Linked DNA regions of Callithrix jacchus. The protein of the gene in region 1 interacts with the protein of each later gene in a pairwise test. Links are inferred from orthologs where the notes say so. Each region holds a gene or a part of one and is shown on either strand. Other genes may lie near its edges. The genes, in order: WIPF1, HOMER3 and FASTK.

What was found.
Region 2: the proteins of WIPF1 (region 1) and HOMER3 interact in binary tests that used the Homo sapiens proteins (3 or more experiments, as listed by UniProt). The two-hybrid records come from large-scale screens. The link is inferred for Callithrix jacchus from reciprocal best matches to the Homo sapiens genes WIPF1 and HOMER3.
Region 3: the proteins of WIPF1 (region 1) and FASTK interact in binary tests that used the Homo sapiens proteins (3 or more experiments, as listed by UniProt). The two-hybrid records come from large-scale screens. The link is inferred for Callithrix jacchus from reciprocal best matches to the Homo sapiens genes WIPF1 and FASTK.

Annotation. Positions count from the first base shown.
Region 1 is NC_133507.1:54,781,530-54,787,190, forward strand, and holds the start of WIPF1 (WAS/WASL-interacting protein family member 1), read left to right. Parts: upstream 1-1,925; 5' UTR 1,926-2,068; intron 2,069-5,661. UniProt on the Homo sapiens protein: Plays a role in the reorganization of the actin cytoskeleton. Contributes with NCK1 and GRB2 in the recruitment and activation of WASL.
Region 2 is NC_133523.1:17,623,192-17,628,082, reverse strand, and holds part of HOMER3 (homer protein homolog 3), read left to right. Parts: intron 1-383; coding exon 384-491; intron 492-1,668; coding exon 1,669-1,790; intron 1,791-2,656; coding exon 2,657-2,813; intron 2,814-3,164; coding exon 3,165-3,281; intron 3,282-3,378; coding exon 3,379-3,465; intron 3,466-4,737; coding exon 4,738-4,891. UniProt on the Homo sapiens protein: Postsynaptic density scaffolding protein. Binds and cross-links cytoplasmic regions of GRM1, GRM5, ITPR1, DNM3, RYR1, RYR2, SHANK1 and SHANK3.
Region 3 is NC_133512.1:97,130,746-97,136,406, forward strand, and holds the start of FASTK (fas-activated serine/threonine kinase), read left to right. Parts: upstream 1-2,258; 5' UTR 2,259-2,297; coding exon 2,298-2,379; intron 2,380-3,117; coding exon 3,118-3,540; intron 3,541-4,016; coding exon 4,017-4,196; intron 4,197-4,337; coding exon 4,338-4,477; intron 4,478-4,948; coding exon 4,949-5,162; intron 5,163-5,260; coding exon 5,261-5,420; intron 5,421-5,644; coding exon 5,645-5,661. Other genes in the region: TMUB1 (transmembrane and ubiquitin-like domain-containing protein 1), read left to right, coding at 498-892, 1,167-1,518. UniProt on the Homo sapiens protein: Phosphorylates the splicing regulator TIA1, thereby promoting the inclusion of FAS exon 6, which leads to an mRNA encoding a pro-apoptotic form of the receptor.

The DNA.
Region 1 (5,661 bases):
CTGCTTGTCTTCATTTTATATAAAATATAACATATGTGTATTACCATAGAAATGGTTTAAAAAGAAAGGCAAATGGTTAATGTACCTTAAAAAGATGGGTACATTTAGACAAAAATTTGCCAATGGGAAGTTTCCCATGTTACTAAATGTCTTTCCCAGAAGCATCATTGTATCTGTTAAAAACATGTCGAGAGATACGTGTGCACATGGGAGTGGTACAGGAGCAGAGAAAGCCGGGATCCCGTGAAGCCCCCTCAGCATAGTGTAACAATTTTAAAGTGCATCTATTTGTAACTGCCCAATGGGTTCAACTTGCCCGCTGCCTAGACAGAGCCCATTTATCAAGACGGTGAAATTGCAATGGATAAAAACGAATTCATGCAGAGCCAGCTGTGCGGGAGACCAGAGTTTCATTATTACTAAGATCAGTCTCTCTGGGCATTCTGGGATGAGTTTTTAAAGATAATTTGGCAGGTAGGGGCTTGGGAAGTAGGGAGTGCTGATTGGTCAGATTGGAGATGGACTCATGGTGGGGGATCAAAGTGAGTTTTTCTTGCTCTTTTCTGTTCCTAGGTGGGATGGCAGAACTGGTTAAGCCAGATTACCTATCTGGGTGGTATCTGGTAACTGAGTTCAGGGTCTGTAAAATATCTCAACCACTGATCTTAGGTTTTACAACAGTATTGTTATCCCCAGCAGTAATTTGGGGAGGTTCAGACTTTCAGAGCGGGAGAGAGGCTGCATGAACCCTAAACTGTAATTTCTAATCGTATAGCTAATTTGTTAGTCCTGTGAGGCAGACTGGTCCCCAGGTAAGAAGGGAATCTTTCTGGGAAAGGGATATTACCAATTTTGTTTCAGTTAAAACATAAACTGAATTATTTCTCAATGGCTACACCCAGGAGTGAACAAGTACACTTTAAAGGTTAGAAGCAAGATAGAGTAGGTTGTAGGTCTGATTTCTTTCACTGTCACAATTTCCTCAGTTATAATTTTGCAAAGGTGGTTTTATAGTCCCACCCTCCTGCTTTTATTCAAACCGATACACAGCCTTGATATTTTAACAATATGATCCGATTGTTACTATACTGACGAGAACTTTCAAATGCACTCTCCCAGCGGCCGCATCGTCTTAGTGAGTGTTAACTTTTGTTTGGGGCCTGGAGGTGGCAGCTCTCTGAACTGGACAGAGCCTCCTTATGAGCAGGAGTTAGCTCTGGCAATGGAGTAGAGCTTCACGTTTCTCCACGTTTGCTGTGGATCCTACCGTATTTAAGGATGTGGGTGGCTGAGGATAAATCCATCCCCACTGGCGGCAAAACGACTCAATTCCGACCGACTGGTGGGGTGAAGCGGCATCTTTTCGAGGGAAGAGTAGCACGTTGTCCCTACACAGTAGGCAGGAGTCAGATGCATACGGACCTTGGGTCTCCGTGGGGTTCACTCAGATTTTAAATCCATCTTTAAAAATGAATTTGATTTTCAGACATCTGAAAGTTGGACCCGCTGTTTTTGAGAGCAGAGGGGAAAGCGTGGGAAAAGGTGTTCCCTCCGGCTGGGGGAGACTGACGCCAGCAGCCACGAGGAGGTAGAGAGGATTCAAGGGTTGAGGGGAAAGGCCCTGAGCTACTCCCCTTCCAGTTCCCTCTCCTCTGCAAACTCCTGTCCCAGGCGCCCTGGCCTCGGCCCCCTCGCCCCGCAGGGGAGCGGGACGGGGGAAACCACTGACTCCAGCCCCGACAATCACGCCCCGCCGCGCTCCTCTGCCGGCCGAGGCTGCGGGCGCGGAGCCCCATTGCCTGCGGGGCGGGCGGGCGGGCGGGCGGAGGGCAGGGCGCGAGCCGGCGGGGCCTCGCGGCGCGTCCACATGTGGCGGGGCGGCGGGGGGGGGCCGGGGCGCCGAGGGGGAGGGCCCACATCTCGGCGAAGTTCCCGGATGGTCGCAGCCTCCCGGCGCTGAGAGCTTTTCCTGCCCGCCCGGCTCAGCCCTGCGGACCCCGGGAGAAGTTTCCCAGAAAAAATGCCCCGCGCGGCGCGGGGCAGTGGAGTCGTCCGGAGCCGCTGTGCGGTAAGGGACGCGTCGCGTCTGGCGCGACCGGGGTTCCGGGGTCCCGGGGGGGGGACACCGGGTGGGGCTGGGCTCGATGGCGGGGCTCAGAAGCGCCGCTTGGAACGGTGATGCGGGCGGGGCGGCCGGGGACGTCGAGGCCGCGTCCCCTGAGAGCGGTGGGCGCGATTCCGGGCCCGTGGTCCGCGCGTTCTGCTCTGGCCGATGGCCCCGGGAGGAAGGGGCGGTGGACTGCCGGGGTCCCGCGCCTTGGGCTGGGCGCACCGCTGGGCTCCGCGGACCCAGGGCCGCCCGTTGGGGCTCGAGACCCACTATCTCCGTAGTTCCCGAGTAGGGGCTTCGCGGCGATGTCCTGGGGCCGCACCTACACCCCACCTAGGACGGAGGGGGACGTTCGGGCATCCCCTGGGGCCGACTCAAGCTCTGGCACCGCCCGCCTGCCTGGCTGTGGGAACCGTGCCCCTCCCGCGCTCCAGCCCGCCTCCCTCCCGGCGCTCCCGGGCCGCCCGCTTGCTCCAGGTCCGTGTAGACTGGCGCGTTAGGGGTCTGCGTCGGCCTCAGAGGCACGGCCAGTCCCCGTCACGACTTTTCACCACGAGTGGGGATGGTTGAGGGGGGTGCTCCCCCGAACTCTCCAGACAGCTTCACTGCAGTCTCGCGTCCCCTACCTTTTTCCACTACACACACTTTTCTTTTTAAAGAAAGAACTGTTAACGTTGCGAATGTAAGGGAAAGCAGCTGACCCAGTCGCTGTGAGCTTTTGTTAATCGCTAAAAGCTCCAAGTCAGATCACTGGTGGTTGGACTTTGAGGTCTTTGCGATTAACAAAGGGTGTGGCTGTGTGAGGAACTCATCCTGGCGAGGTCTTCTGGTCCTGCTTAAATTGGAATATTCCTTCTTCAGCCACGGGCTCCTGGCCTTACTGAGTTCTCTGGGAAGCCTTTCAAGTTGGCTCAGTGACCAAGTGGACTTGGTCCCTTTCACTGAAAAGCGTGTGTCCGTTCTACCCCCTCTGGACCGCTCCTCACTCCCATTCCCCCATCCCTGGCTGCATGTAGCCTCAGACTCGAGGAGGGTGCAGCCGCAGAGCCCGTGAACATATTCCACGTTGGGTGGGTTTTCTTTTGCCAGCTTCCCAAAGCAATTGCAAAACAATACTGTAGCTTCATTTTGAGTCGTTGGTAGGTTTTTTCGTTATCAAAACTGCTTATTTTTGTAATGGATAAAATAACACCAAGAAATGTTCTACTTTAGTTTGTAAATCACCTTTTTGTAATAACTTCTTGAGATGAGAAACCCCTTGATAGGCTGTCAGCACTCTGCCTCTTAATCCCTTTCCAGTGCACACAACACTGCCTTCTACTGTGACTGTGTGTGTCTACCTGACCCTGTCAGCCCCACAAGGCTGCGTTTCTCCAAGACCTGGAGGTGCTATAGTCTAAACCCCCAGCCACCTGTGAGAGCCTATTACCTGTTGAATAGAAATGTTCAGACTAAACTCTGTAGATGTTATGAAACTAGTTCAGTAATATTATCTTCCTTCCTGGGACCTACCAACCCCTGTCATATCTTTGGCTCCATGAAAACATCACTCTTTTAGGTTGTGTGATGTAGTGCAAAGAGATTTGTAAGCAAGGTAAGATCAAATTCCGGGATATTTAAAGAGAATGAGATTATTTCCAGCTGGGGAAATTCATGCCAGCTGGGGGGATATGTTCATTTTACAAATTGTCTTTAATATATTCACCAACTTTCTGGTGCCCTTAGTCATATCATGCAATTTGAGCCTCATTTACCTCATCCAAGAAATGGGGTTGATAATCTTTGCTCTTCGTCCACTACAGGGTATGAGGATCATGTAGGATAAAGGGGTGTGAAGGAAGCAGCAAAAGCAGCGTGATACAGATACTATCCAAATACCATGCAGTGTGTAGCATAGCACCAAGACACAAAAACTATAATGGGCAGAAGGGTGGGTGGTGAAGAGAGGGTAGTATGCCCTGACCTTGTACATTTACTGTCTCAGGTGCTATGGCCAGACATGAACCCCTTTTAGCAGACAGTATTCATTACTGGGTCTGTGTCATTATCTTTCCTATTTCAAGGTGTTTCTAACTATGGTTGTAATTTTAGGAACATAGGTGGTTTCCACAACACATACTGAGAGAATAAATGAAACAAAAGTGCCTTTTATTTTTTGCTATAACCCCTTCGCTTTCAAGCATCTGACATTTGGCATTTAACTCCCAGGGCTGTGGTCTTCCTGAAGCCTTCCCTCCAATGCAGTCTACTGAATTCTTAATGGTTTCTGCACAGAGGTCTCTCTGCTGCTGTTTCCCAGCAATCCACAATTATACCATGGTTCTTGTAGGCTTGGTAGGCTTATTTATGCCTTGTGGCTAGCAGGGACCCACATAGAATCAGGTCACAGTTGGAATCAAGCCAGATACTCATTGAGCATCTCAGGTCCCTGCTAGAGGTTCTAGCTATACTCTGTGCTAGGTAGGTGGGTAGAAAGGAAGACGTAGCTCAGAAAGAGATGAAGTCTGCACCTGAGTGCTAACTTTCTGGTAGAAATGACACACAGTTTCAAACAGCAGGAATGCAGGCAGAATTTGGTAAATAAGGTGAAAAAGGTACAGACCAAATACAGGGAATTCAGAGGCGTCCAACTGGATGGAGGCAGCCCTTCATTCATTTCTCCACTTAACAAATATTTATTAAGTGTTTACTGTATGCCAGGCATCAAAAGATTAATAAGCACATTCACATCATGTCCCACCATCTCTGCCTCAATTGAGGAACAGTTTAGGTTTCACCTCCCTGTGACAGATGAATACGTCCTCACTCAGCCCTAACTTTTGTTTGCTAGGGCAGACATTTGTCCGTTGTTCCTCACTCTGTAGGTGTTATAGGTATGTAGATCAAGTCAAAATAACTTAAGTCTGTCCCTTGTCTAGTTTTGAGTAATGAAAACTCTAGGTGTACCAAAGCTTCTCTTCCTTTGTATGTTGAATCCGATAAGAATTGAGTTAGTTGAGTGATGCTATTCTGCGTAACACACCTTAACTAGTGTGCTAATCCTTAGCCACAGGTGTGATGAGAAGCTTATAAAAGCTTGATTCTGTAAGTCTGGGGTGAGGCCCGGGAAGTGTTTTGAAGACTTCCTCAGGTGATGCTGATGTGCTACCCAAGGGCAGACTTTGCCAATGGCTAAAGCACGGGCCAGTCCCATCACTATCTCTTACAAATTCTTTGTGTCTTCACTTTTGAAATGAGAGTAATAACCCTTCAATAGAAGGATTGTTCTAAGGGTCAGGTAAGGTCATGCATGTTAATTATTTAGCAGATTATCTGGGACTGTGTTGCTGCTCAGTCTTGGTGGACTATTCTTATTATTAGCATTAGTATATTACTATCAGTGTTAGCCTGAACAAAACACTGTTGGATATTCCTTTCTCCATAGGTAAATACCAAAAAAGCCTAAATACAGAAACTGCTTTTGATGTAAATTAACATAGAATTACCGAGCGTTTCATGCAGTCATCTCATATATTCACAGCCCCCAAGAAGGAGAGATCTCACTGAAAAGA
Region 2 (4,891 bases), on another chromosome or scaffold:
CGGGAGGCTGAGGCGGGAGAATTGCTTGAACCCAGGAGGCGGAGGTTGCGGTGAGCCGAGATTGCGCCATTGCACTCCAGCCTGGGTAACAAGAGCGAAACTCCATCTCAAAAAAAAAGAAGAAAAGAAAAGAAAAAGAGGAAAAGGGAATTCCTTTCCCTTTCTCAATGTGGCCCAATGTATTAAAATGCCACCTTCGTGATCTGATGCCACCTGCCCACCCACCATGGTACATCATTTTTCAGACCTTCTCTCCTTCTTCCACAGTGTGTGATGAGAGAATGGGTACAGTTCCAAAGTGACAGGGCTGTCGCTGGGTGGCGGTTACCTGGTTTGTGGGGATGGGCTGGGGGTTGACTGTCTGTTCCTCCCCACTCCCCTAGTTTGCCGAGAAGTTTCAGGAAGTGAAGGAAGCAGCCAGGCTGGCCAGGGAGAAATCTCAGGATGGCGGGGAGCTCACCAGTCCAGCCCTGGGGCTCGCCTCCCACCAGGTCAGCACTCCCTGCCCCCCTATGCTTCCTGGGCACCTGTGAGTCAACCAGGCCCAGGATTGGGGGGACCTTGATATTAGGAGACCAGGCACTGTGCTAGTCCTCAAGACCCAATGCTCCCAGATGACCTAAAGTTAGACCCATGGCAGGGGCCATGGAGGAGGGGTGTGGAGCATGTCATGGAGGGTCTGGGCCTTGCCTGGGGTCGGCAGGGGGCACCCAGTAGGTCCCAGTAGCAAAACCAGCTCAGATGGCAGAATGGAAGACTAGAAATTGAAATAGCTAAGTGTGGCCAGGCGCAGTGGCTTATGCCTATAATCCCAGCAATTTTGGAGGCCAAGGTGGGAGGATCGCTTGAGTCCAGGAGTTTGAGACCAGCCTGGCCAACATGGTGAAACCCCATCTCTACTAACAAATACAAAAATTAGCCAGGCGTGTCGGCGTGCACCTGTAATCCCAGCTACTTGGGAGGCTGAGGCAGGAGAATTGCTTGAACCCAGGAAGTGGAGGTTGCAGTCAGCCCAGATCATGCCACTGTACTCCAGCCTGGTGACACAGTGTGACAGAAAGAAATGGCTAAGTGTGAGGCACAGCAATGAACTGGCCCTGTGTGTTTTCCCACATTAATTTATTCAGCATCATTTATTGAGCGCCTGCTGTGTACCAGGCCCAGGGCTGTGCACAGGGGTTGCAGAGATTTAGAAAAACAGGCTGAACTCTACCCTCAGAGCCAGCGGTCCAGGCTTTGGGGTGGCTCATGAAACACAAATTCAGCCTGGGCAGGGCTTCCTGCTGAAATCCTAAACGGGCCACAGGGAACAGAACAGGGAAGGGAACAGCATGGAGCTGTCCGATTGTCCCTCTCCCCTACCTTGGAGGTTCTAAGTATCTTGGTTTAGACTAACCTGCATCAGACTTGCTCCTAGGGGTGGTGAAACCCCAGGAAGGCAAGGCTGAGGGCATGGGCCTGGAACTCTCAGCCTAGGGGCCACAGGGAGCCATGGAGGGTGGGTGAGATGGGGAGGGACACATTCGGATCCGGTGCTGTGAAGGACCTGCTTAGGGTGCATAGGTCAGTTGGACCCCCTGATGTGACGACCCCGGTCACATCAGCCTTGATCCCAGCCACTGACAGAAGCTACTACTCATCGTGACCTGCTCTTTTCCCCGTGCACAGGTGCCCCCGAGTCCCCTCGTCAGTGCCAACGGCCCGGGTGAGGAGAAACTGTTCCGCAGTCAGAGCGCTGACGCCCCCGGCCCCACAGAGCGCGAGCGACTCAAGAAGATGCTGTCCGAGGGGTGAGGGGCGGGGCTTGGGGCGCGGCAGGGGACGGGGTGGGGATGCGGGACTTGGAGGCGGTTCTCGAAAGCCAAGGGAGTGCCAGGGACTGCGGGATCTAACTGTGGACCCAAGACCTGGGAAAGGGGAGGAGCTGATCCCGCTGCTGCTCCATCCAGAGCCGACCCCGCCCACGGCTTTGGCAGGCCGGTCTGTATTGAACCGGTCCCTGTCTCCTGGCTGATAACCTCGCCCCATCCATGCCTCTCGGGCTTAGGATAAACCTGGGGCGCCTCCCCACCCCGACCACGCCCCCCTTGGCTGACTCTCCTCAACCTCCCAACCCTCCTCTGCCATCCCGACAGTGTTACTGGGCGGACCCCATGTGCCCACTTCTTTGACCAGGTCCCTGACAAGACCCCGCCTCTTCGGGACTGCCCCATCCCCAAGCTTCGCACTATTTTGGCTGCGCTCCTAGCCCAGCCCAGTGTCGCCACGTCCCCAGCACACCGTGGCCCTGAGTCCATCCCCTGGCCCTACGCCACCCCACCCTTGGCCCTGCCCCCTACCCAGCATTGTCCTTGACACCACCCCCAGCCCAATCTCGCGCCTGGCCACGCACCAGCCCACACCACCCACCTCTGGCCCCGCCCCCTAGTGGAGCATCGCCACTGACTCCACCCCCAGGTCAGTGCCACCCCACCCTGGCCCTGCGCCCTAGTTCAACCTCACACCCTCTCCAAGCTTCGTCCTCACCCAAGCCCAGAGCCATCCCAACCCCTGGCCCCGATCCCAACCCCTGGCCCGATCCCAACCCCAGCATTGCCCTCTGACTGCCCCCGCTCTAGCCCCATGTCACCCCCTGCCGACCCTTGCGTTTCTGCAGCTCCGTGGGCGAGGTACAGTGGGAGGCCGAGTTCTTCGCGCTGCAGGACAGCAACAACAAGCTGGCAGGCGCCCTGCGGGAGGCCAACGCAGCCGCAGCCCAGTGGAGGCAGCAGCTGGAGGCTCAGCGTGCAGAGGCTGAGCGGCTGCGGCAGCGGGTAAGGGCACCCCCTCCCAAAGAGAGCCCCCCACCTGACCCGGGCAACTGTGGAGCCCACGCCTCTGCCAGTCCCATCTGCCCTGGGTGCATGGACTGGCCGGGTGACCTCAGCAGGTCACTGTCCCAGCCCCAGTTCCTTGCTCTGTAAAATGCGTGTGAGACAATGCCAACTTCAGAGGGTGATCAGACCCTAAAGTCCAAGCTACGTGAGTGGGGGAGGTGCCACCAACCAAGGGAGTTGGGTGCTCGGTCCTGGATGTGGCTGGACAGGAGGCAGAGTCCCTAGAGGTTGGGGGAGCAAGGGAGAGTGCAGGCAGGGGTGGTAGGGGCTGCTATTCCTGTCCCACAGGTGGCTGAGCTGGAGGCCCAGGCAGCTTCAGAGGTGACCCCAGCCAGTGAGAAGGAGGGGCCGGGCCAGGGCCAGTCACTGGAGCAGCTGGAAGCTCTGGTGCAAACCAAGGACCAGGTGAGCGCCAAGTATGGTTCCCGGGCCTCGTCCTCCCTCACCTCCAGAGGGAAAGCCAGGACCCCCAGAACAGACCCTGGGAACTCTTTTCCTCTAGGAGATCCAGACCCTGAAGAGTCAGACTGGGGGGCCCCGAGAAGCCCCAGAGGCTGCCGAGCGCGAGGAGACTCAGCAGAAGGTGCAGGTGTGTGTGGGCGCCAGGAGGTGGGGTGAAGGTGGGTGACCATCACCTCAACAGACAATTGGGACGATCTACCTAAGATGATAAAGTAGTATTGGGAGTCCCAGGCCCGCGCCAGGCCTGATGGCCGGCAGGCGCTGTGTGAACAGTGGGTTCAGCAGGCAATCTCGAGTCCCGGCTGCATTCCCACGCCAGACCCTGTCATTTCCTCCTGTTCTCAGCCGGAAATCACAGAGCCTGCACTGGAACCAGGTGTGGCTTGGCTTTTTTTGTTTTTTCTTCGAGATGGAGTCTCACTCTGTCGCCCAGGCTGGAGTGCAGTGGCGCAATCTTGGCTCACTGCAACCTCCACCTCCCAGGTTCAAGCGATTCTCCTAACTCAGCCTCCTCAGTAGCTGGGATTACAGGTGTGTGCTACCATGCCTGGCTAATTTTTTGTATTTTTAGTAGAGATGGGGTTTTACCATATCGGCCAGGCTAGTCTCAAACTCCTGACCTTGAGCAATCCACCCTCAGCCTCCCAAAGTGCTGGGATTACAGGAGTGAGCTGCCACGCCCAGCCTTGGCTTGGCTTTTGCTACAGGCTTTATCTGAGAAATGTTCAGGGGATACCTTTTTTTTTTTTTAATTTTGAGACAGGGCCTCACTGTGTTACTGGGGCCAGAGTACAGTGGCGCAATCTCAGCTCACTGCAACCTCCACTTCCTGGGCTCAAGCGATTCTCCTGCCTCAGCCTCCTGAGTAGCTGGGACTACAGGTGCCTGCCACCACATACAGCTAATATTTGTATTTTTAGTAGTGATGGGGTTTTACCATGTTGTTCAGGCTGGTCTTGAACTCCCGGCCTCAGGGGAGCCACCTGCGTCTGCCTCCCAAAGTGCTGGGATTATAGGCATGAGTCACTGTGCCCAGCCCAGGGGGCACTTCTTGTGAGCCCAACAAGTTGAGATGTTACAGGACCTGCTTCCCTTACACCTGTATTCCTAGCTACTTGGGAGGCTGGGGTGGGAGGACTGCTTGAACCTAGGAGTTGGAGGCTACAGTGAGCTAGGATTGTGCCACTGCACTCCAGCTTGGGCAACAGAACAAAACCCTGTCTCTTAGAAATGAGGGCAGAAGCCAGATCCCTGGGGGGGTTGGATTTTATTCCCAGTGTGATTGGTGCCCTAGGAGGGCTTTGGGTAAAAGAGGGACATGAAGCCGTCAGACTCTGGACACCTCGGACAGGCACGGTGACTTGTTGGGGCCCCCACCCCGCCCACCCTTTCCTGGCAGGACCTGGAAACCCGCAACACGGAGCTGGAGCACCAGCTGCGGGCAATGGAGCGCAGCCTAGAGGAGGCGCGGGCGGAGCGGGAGCGGGCACGGGCCGAGGTGGGCCGGGCAGCGCAGCTGCTGGACGTCAGGCTGTTCGAGCTGAGTGAGCTTC
Region 3 (5,661 bases), on another chromosome or scaffold:
TGGGGGGATGGGGATACAGAGGCTCTACCCCTACCTCGGAGAAACTTTAGCAACGGAGTAGATGAGCCTGGGGTGAAGTCGGTGAAGGAGTAGACACACTAGAGTGAAGTGGACGGAGAATAGATACGCTTGGGGGTGAAGTTTGGTCGGGGTGACGTTTAGGGGAGGCATTGCTTAGAAGGTCGGGGCCCTTACCTTGAGATAGGGTTTAGGTGAGCTGGGAGCTGGTTGAAGACCTCGAGCTCAGATGACAGAAAGTTAGGACTTGGGATTCGGCGATGGGAAAGGGCACCCGGACGCAAGTTTGGGGCAACTGGGAGGCAGAGCAGCCGGTACCCTGGGGTGGGTGAGGGGACGGGCTGAGGACGGTGGGATCATAGCGGTGGAGTGGGGGCAGGATCCTGTGGAGGTTCTAGGGCCCCTAGCCCGGGGGGCTCGCGCCTCACGGGCTCTTTGTGCCTCTCCAGCTCGGTAGTGCGGCGGGCAAGGCAAGCGCCATGACCCTGATTGAAGGGGTGGGTGATGAGGTGACCGTCCTTTTCTCGGTGCTTGCCTGCCTTCTGGTGCTGGCCCTTGCCTGGGTCTCAACGCACACCGCTGAGGGCGGGGACCCACTGCCCCAGCTGTCAGGGACCCCATCGCCAGCCCAGCCCAGCGCAGCCATGGCAGCTACCGACAGCATGAGAGGGGAGGCCCCAGGGCCAGAGACTCCCAGCCTGAGACACAGAGGTCAAGCTGCACAGCCAGAGCCCAGCACTGGGGTCACAGCAACACCGACACAGCCAGCCCTGGACTCCCCGCAGGAGCCCCTCGTGCTACGGTTGAAATTCCTCAATGATTCAGAGCAGGTGGCCAGGGCCTGGCCCCACGACACCATTGGTTCCTTGAAAAGGTAAGCAGGGCAAGAGGCAGGAGCAATGCTAAAGACAGGGATGGGGGGACTAGTAGCAGAAGGCTCCCAGAGAGGTCTGAGACCCAGCCCTCGTTTATACTGGAGGCGATGAGCGCCCCACATCACAACTACACTTGTTTCCCTGGCAGATGGCCCCTCCCAAGCCAGGACCTGTGCGGTGCGGAGGGCAGGGGGAGGGTGGGAGTGCTGCTCCGGGACCAGGGACTAGGATTGCCTGAGGCCTGCTCTCTTACCCAGGTCCCTCTCTCCTCAGGACCCAGTTTCCCGGCCGGGAACAGCAGGTGCGACTCATCTACCAAGGGCAGCTGCTAGGCGACGACACCCAGACCCTGGGCAGCCTTCACCTCCCTCCCAACTGCGTTCTCCACTGCCACGTGTCCACGAGGGTCGGCCCCCCAAGTCCCCCCTGCCCTCCGGGGTCCGAGCCCGGCCCCTCCGGGCTGGAAATAGGCAGCCTGCTGCTGCCCCTGCTGCTCCTGCTGCTGCTGCTGCTCTGGTACTGCCAGATCCAGTACCGGCCGTTCTTTCCCCTGACCGCCACTCTGGGCCTGGCCGGCTTCACCCTGCTCCTCAGTCTCCTGGCCTTTGCCATGTACCGCCCGTAGTGCCTCCGCGGGCGCTTGGCGGCATCGCTGGCTCCTCTGGACCTTGCTCCCCGCGCCGTGGCGGGAGCTGCTGCCTGCCCAGGCCCGCCTCTCCGGCCTGCCTCTTCCCGCTGCCCTGGAGCCCAGCCCTGCACCGCAGAGGACTCCCGGGGCTGGCAGAGGCCCAGCCCTGCGCTCGCCGTGGCTCGGGGCCGCCTCCCGGGGCTGCTGGCCCTCAGCCAGCACTGGGAGTCGGCTCCTCGGGGTCAGGGACCTGCTGTCGCTGCCTAGGCCCCGGGCAGAGACGGGCCGCCCCCCGGGCCCGTCTTAACGTGCTGCCGGAGGACCCAGCCGCCTCCAGTCCCTGACAGCACCATGGGCTGAGTTGGGGACGCCAGGACCGTGGGAGGCTGGTGAAGGGGAGCGGGGAGGGGCAGAGGAGTTCCTCGGAACCCGTGCAGATTAAAGTAACTGTGAAGTTTTCACTCTTGCAGTGTGTCTGAGTGTGTGCGGAGTGGCGGGCGGGGAGCCCTCGCCGCTTGGGAGAGAAGGGTACAGACTGCTCCGGACGCTCTGGTCCACCGCTATCCCTTCTGGGTGTTCCGCCTGGGATTCGGCGCGGGCCTCCGTGGTCCCGCCCCCGGCGTCGCGCGCGCACTTCCCGGGGGCGGGCTCGCGGCTCCCTGGCTCGCAGTGCCTGCCGGGAGCCACGTCTCCGCTGGCCGAGCGCAGCTCCGGGATTGGTGTCCCGGCCGCGTTCCAGGGGCTGCTGGGAAGATGGCGGACTCGGCGGCCAGCCGATGAGGAGGCCGCGGGGGGAGCCTGGCCCCCGGGCCCCGAGACCGACTGAGGGAGCGACCTGCGCAGGGCCCGGGGAGTCATGTAGGGGTGGCGCCTGCGGGGCGGGCTGCGGGAGGGCTGCGGGAGCTGGTGTTAGCGGCAGCGGCCACGGTCTCCTGGCGTCCCTGGGCCTGGGTGGGTGTGGGGCCCCCGACTTCGACTCCGCGCCATCGCATAGCGGCGCACTCGGGCCCCGGGCGCTCCCTGCGAGGTGGGCGCTGCGTTTTCATTTCACGGGTGAGGAGACTTGGAGAGACGAAGCCACTTGTCCAAGGTCATGCCGCTGGTAAGTGGGAGCGCCCAGCATGGAACCCAGCACCGTCCAGCCGCGGACCCGGCGTTCCACTCTCTTTGCCGCCTCCTCCTACTGCGGGAGAGGGAGGTGGTCGGGAGAGCGCACGCCGGTGTCGCCTGGGCTCCAGACTGGGCGCGACCACTAACCGGGTTAATGACCCCGGGCTTAATCTTTTCGCCGCTCTGGGCCTGCGCTTCTCACCGGTGAAATGAGGTAATGCCAGCCCTGCCTACTCCACCTGGGCGTGTAAGGAGCATCAGAGATGGTGCATGTGGAATTGCTCCGCGCTGAGCGCACTGAGGATTATGATTGCCGTTTCAAAGGAGTGGAAAGAGGCAGAGGGGCGGGGCGGGGAAGAGGCCCAGAGCAGTCACAAAGGGTTGCTGGAACCCAGGTCCCCCGAATGAGGAGTGAGGTAAGCAGTAGGTAGCAGGTCTTTCTCCTCTTGGAGAAAACCTCACCCCCTTTTTTGGGCTGCCCCTCAGGGTCTCCATCACCCAACTCAATGCTTCGAGTCCTGCTCTCTGCTCAGACCTCCCCTACTCGGCTGTCTGGCTTGCTGGTGATCCCTCCAGTACAGCCCTGCTGTCTGGGGCCCAGCAAATGGGGAGACTGGCCTCCTGGAGGAGGCCCCAGTACAGGTCATGTGCAAGGGCTGCAGCGGCTTCTGGAACAGGCGAGGAGCCCTGGGGAGCTGCTGCGCTGGCTGGGCCAGAACCCCACTAAGGTGCGCGCCCACCACTATCCGGTCGCGCTTCGTCGTCTGGGCCAACTCTTGGGGTCTCGGCCACGGCCCCCTCCTGTGGAGCAGGCCACACTACAGGACTTGAGTCAGCTCATCATCCGAAACTGCCCCGCCTTTGACATGCACACCATCCACGTGTGTCTGCACCTTGCAGTCTTACTTGGTGAGGAGGGGCTTGAGGTGGGCGCCTGGGGGGCTGCTGGGTGTTAATGAAGAATAGGGAAAACAGGAGAGGACCATGGACAGAGACCCAGCCTGTCAGGCGTGTGCCGAGGAACGCTTGCTCTTGCTCCCGTTCCGTGTCTGCGGCAGACAAGAGTCGAACGCACTCATTCTAGCCTCGCTAGGGTGCCACCCCAGATTCTTGATAATAGAGTGCCCTAGGAAGCCACTATACTTTGTCACAATTGGCACAAGATGAAAGCCTATTTTGCCATTTTTGTATGTATTCCCCAAAGACTGTTCTGATCCCTCATAGTCACATGATAGCTTACATTTCTCCGTGTTTGCACTTAAACTCTAGCACACCTTCCCACTCAGGAGGTGGAGAGGAGAAACGTGGGGAATTCACCAAGTAACCCCATGATTAGAACAGCTGCACAGCTCTGTTACCAGGCTGCCTTTCACCTCTCCCCTCAGGCTTTCCAGCTGATGGTCCCCTGGTGCGTGCCCTGGAGCAGGAGCGAAGGCTCCGCCTCCCTCCGAAGCCACCTCCCCCTTTGTCGTCTCTTCTCCGAGGTGGGCAAAGGCTGGAAGCTGCTCTGAGCTGCCCCCGTTTTCTGCGGTATCCACGGCAGCATCTGATCAGCAGCCTGGCAGGTGCTGGAGGGGCTTAAAGGCAGATAGGGATGAGGAGGGCTGACAGGAGGCGGAAAGTGGGCTCAGTTAGCTAGGCTGAAGTGGAGTTGAGCCAGCTGGAGGTCCGGCCTGAGGCCCATTGTGACAGGCTGTTCTTCACAGAGACAAGACCAGAGGAATTGACGCCCCATGTGATGGTGCTCCTGGCCCAGCACCTGGCCCGGCACCGGTTACGGGAGCCCCAGCTTCTGGAAGCCATTGCCCGCTTCCTGGTGGTTCAGGAAAACCAGCTCAGCAGCAAGGTGGGCTTGCCTCCCACCTCCTGTGCATCTCTGAGTCATTCTCAGGGTCCTGGTCAGGCCCAGCGCACTGTCCAGCTTGGCTGTCCTCTTCCTGAAGCAGACACACCCTCTCCGTCTCCTGGGACCTGCATCTTTTTCCACACCTTCTCTGTGGCTTGCCCACCTCCCGCCAGCAGCATGTATTCCTGGAACTGTGCAGTTTCCCAAAGCACTCTTAGCACCATCCTAGCTCCACCCATCCCCCTCCTGGAAGTCTTCAGGGCCAGACGCCACAGTGATGTCGCCTCTGCCTGTTTGGTGGTTAGTCACATGCAGCTCATGACTGCTTTGCTGTTGAACTGTGAGGCTGGAGGAACTGTCCTGTCTTCACAGCAATGTTATAAACGTGGCTCAGCCTCCCTGAGGCTTAGCTTGTGAAAGATGACTGCAGAAACACTTCACACTGGGTAATGAACTGCTCTTCCTTCACAGGTGGTACAGAAGTTGGTCCTGCCCTTTGGGCGGCTGAACTACCTGCCTCTGGAACAGCAGTTTATGCCCTGCCTTGAGAGGATCCTGGCTCGGGAAGCAGGGGTGGCACCCCTGGCTACGGTCAACATCTTGATGTCACTGTGCCAACTGCGGTGCCTGCCCTTCAGAGCCCTGCACTTTGTTTTTTCCCCTGGCTTTATCAACTACATCAGTGGTACGCAGCCAGGATGGCTGGCTGGGGCCCCGAGGGCTGGAAAGGCAGGGGAGCAGGGTGGCCTGCAGCCCGGAGCCCCAGTCCCCGCCTCCCCACAGGCACCCCTCATGCTCTGATTGTGCGTCGCTACCTCTCCCTGCTGGACACGGCCGTGGAGCTGGAGCTCCCAGGATACCGGGGTCCTCGCCTTCCCCGAAGGCAGCAAGTGCCCATCTTTCCCCAGCCTCTCATCACCGACCGTGCCCGCTGCAAGTACAGGTGGATGGGACAGCCTGGGGCAAGGGGAGGGGCTGGCCTGAGAGCAGCACAGAGTAGAAAAGCTAGCAGGACCAGGAACTGCCAAAGCTTAGGTGCTCAGCCGCCATAAAGAAAACGGCCCTGAAGCAGCAGAGGGCTTTGCCCAGCAGGGTGGCAGCACTAGACTGGGTCAGACTAGGATGAGGCACTGGGCCCTTCCTGCTACTGGTGTCCTTTCTCCTCAGTCACAAGGACATAGTAG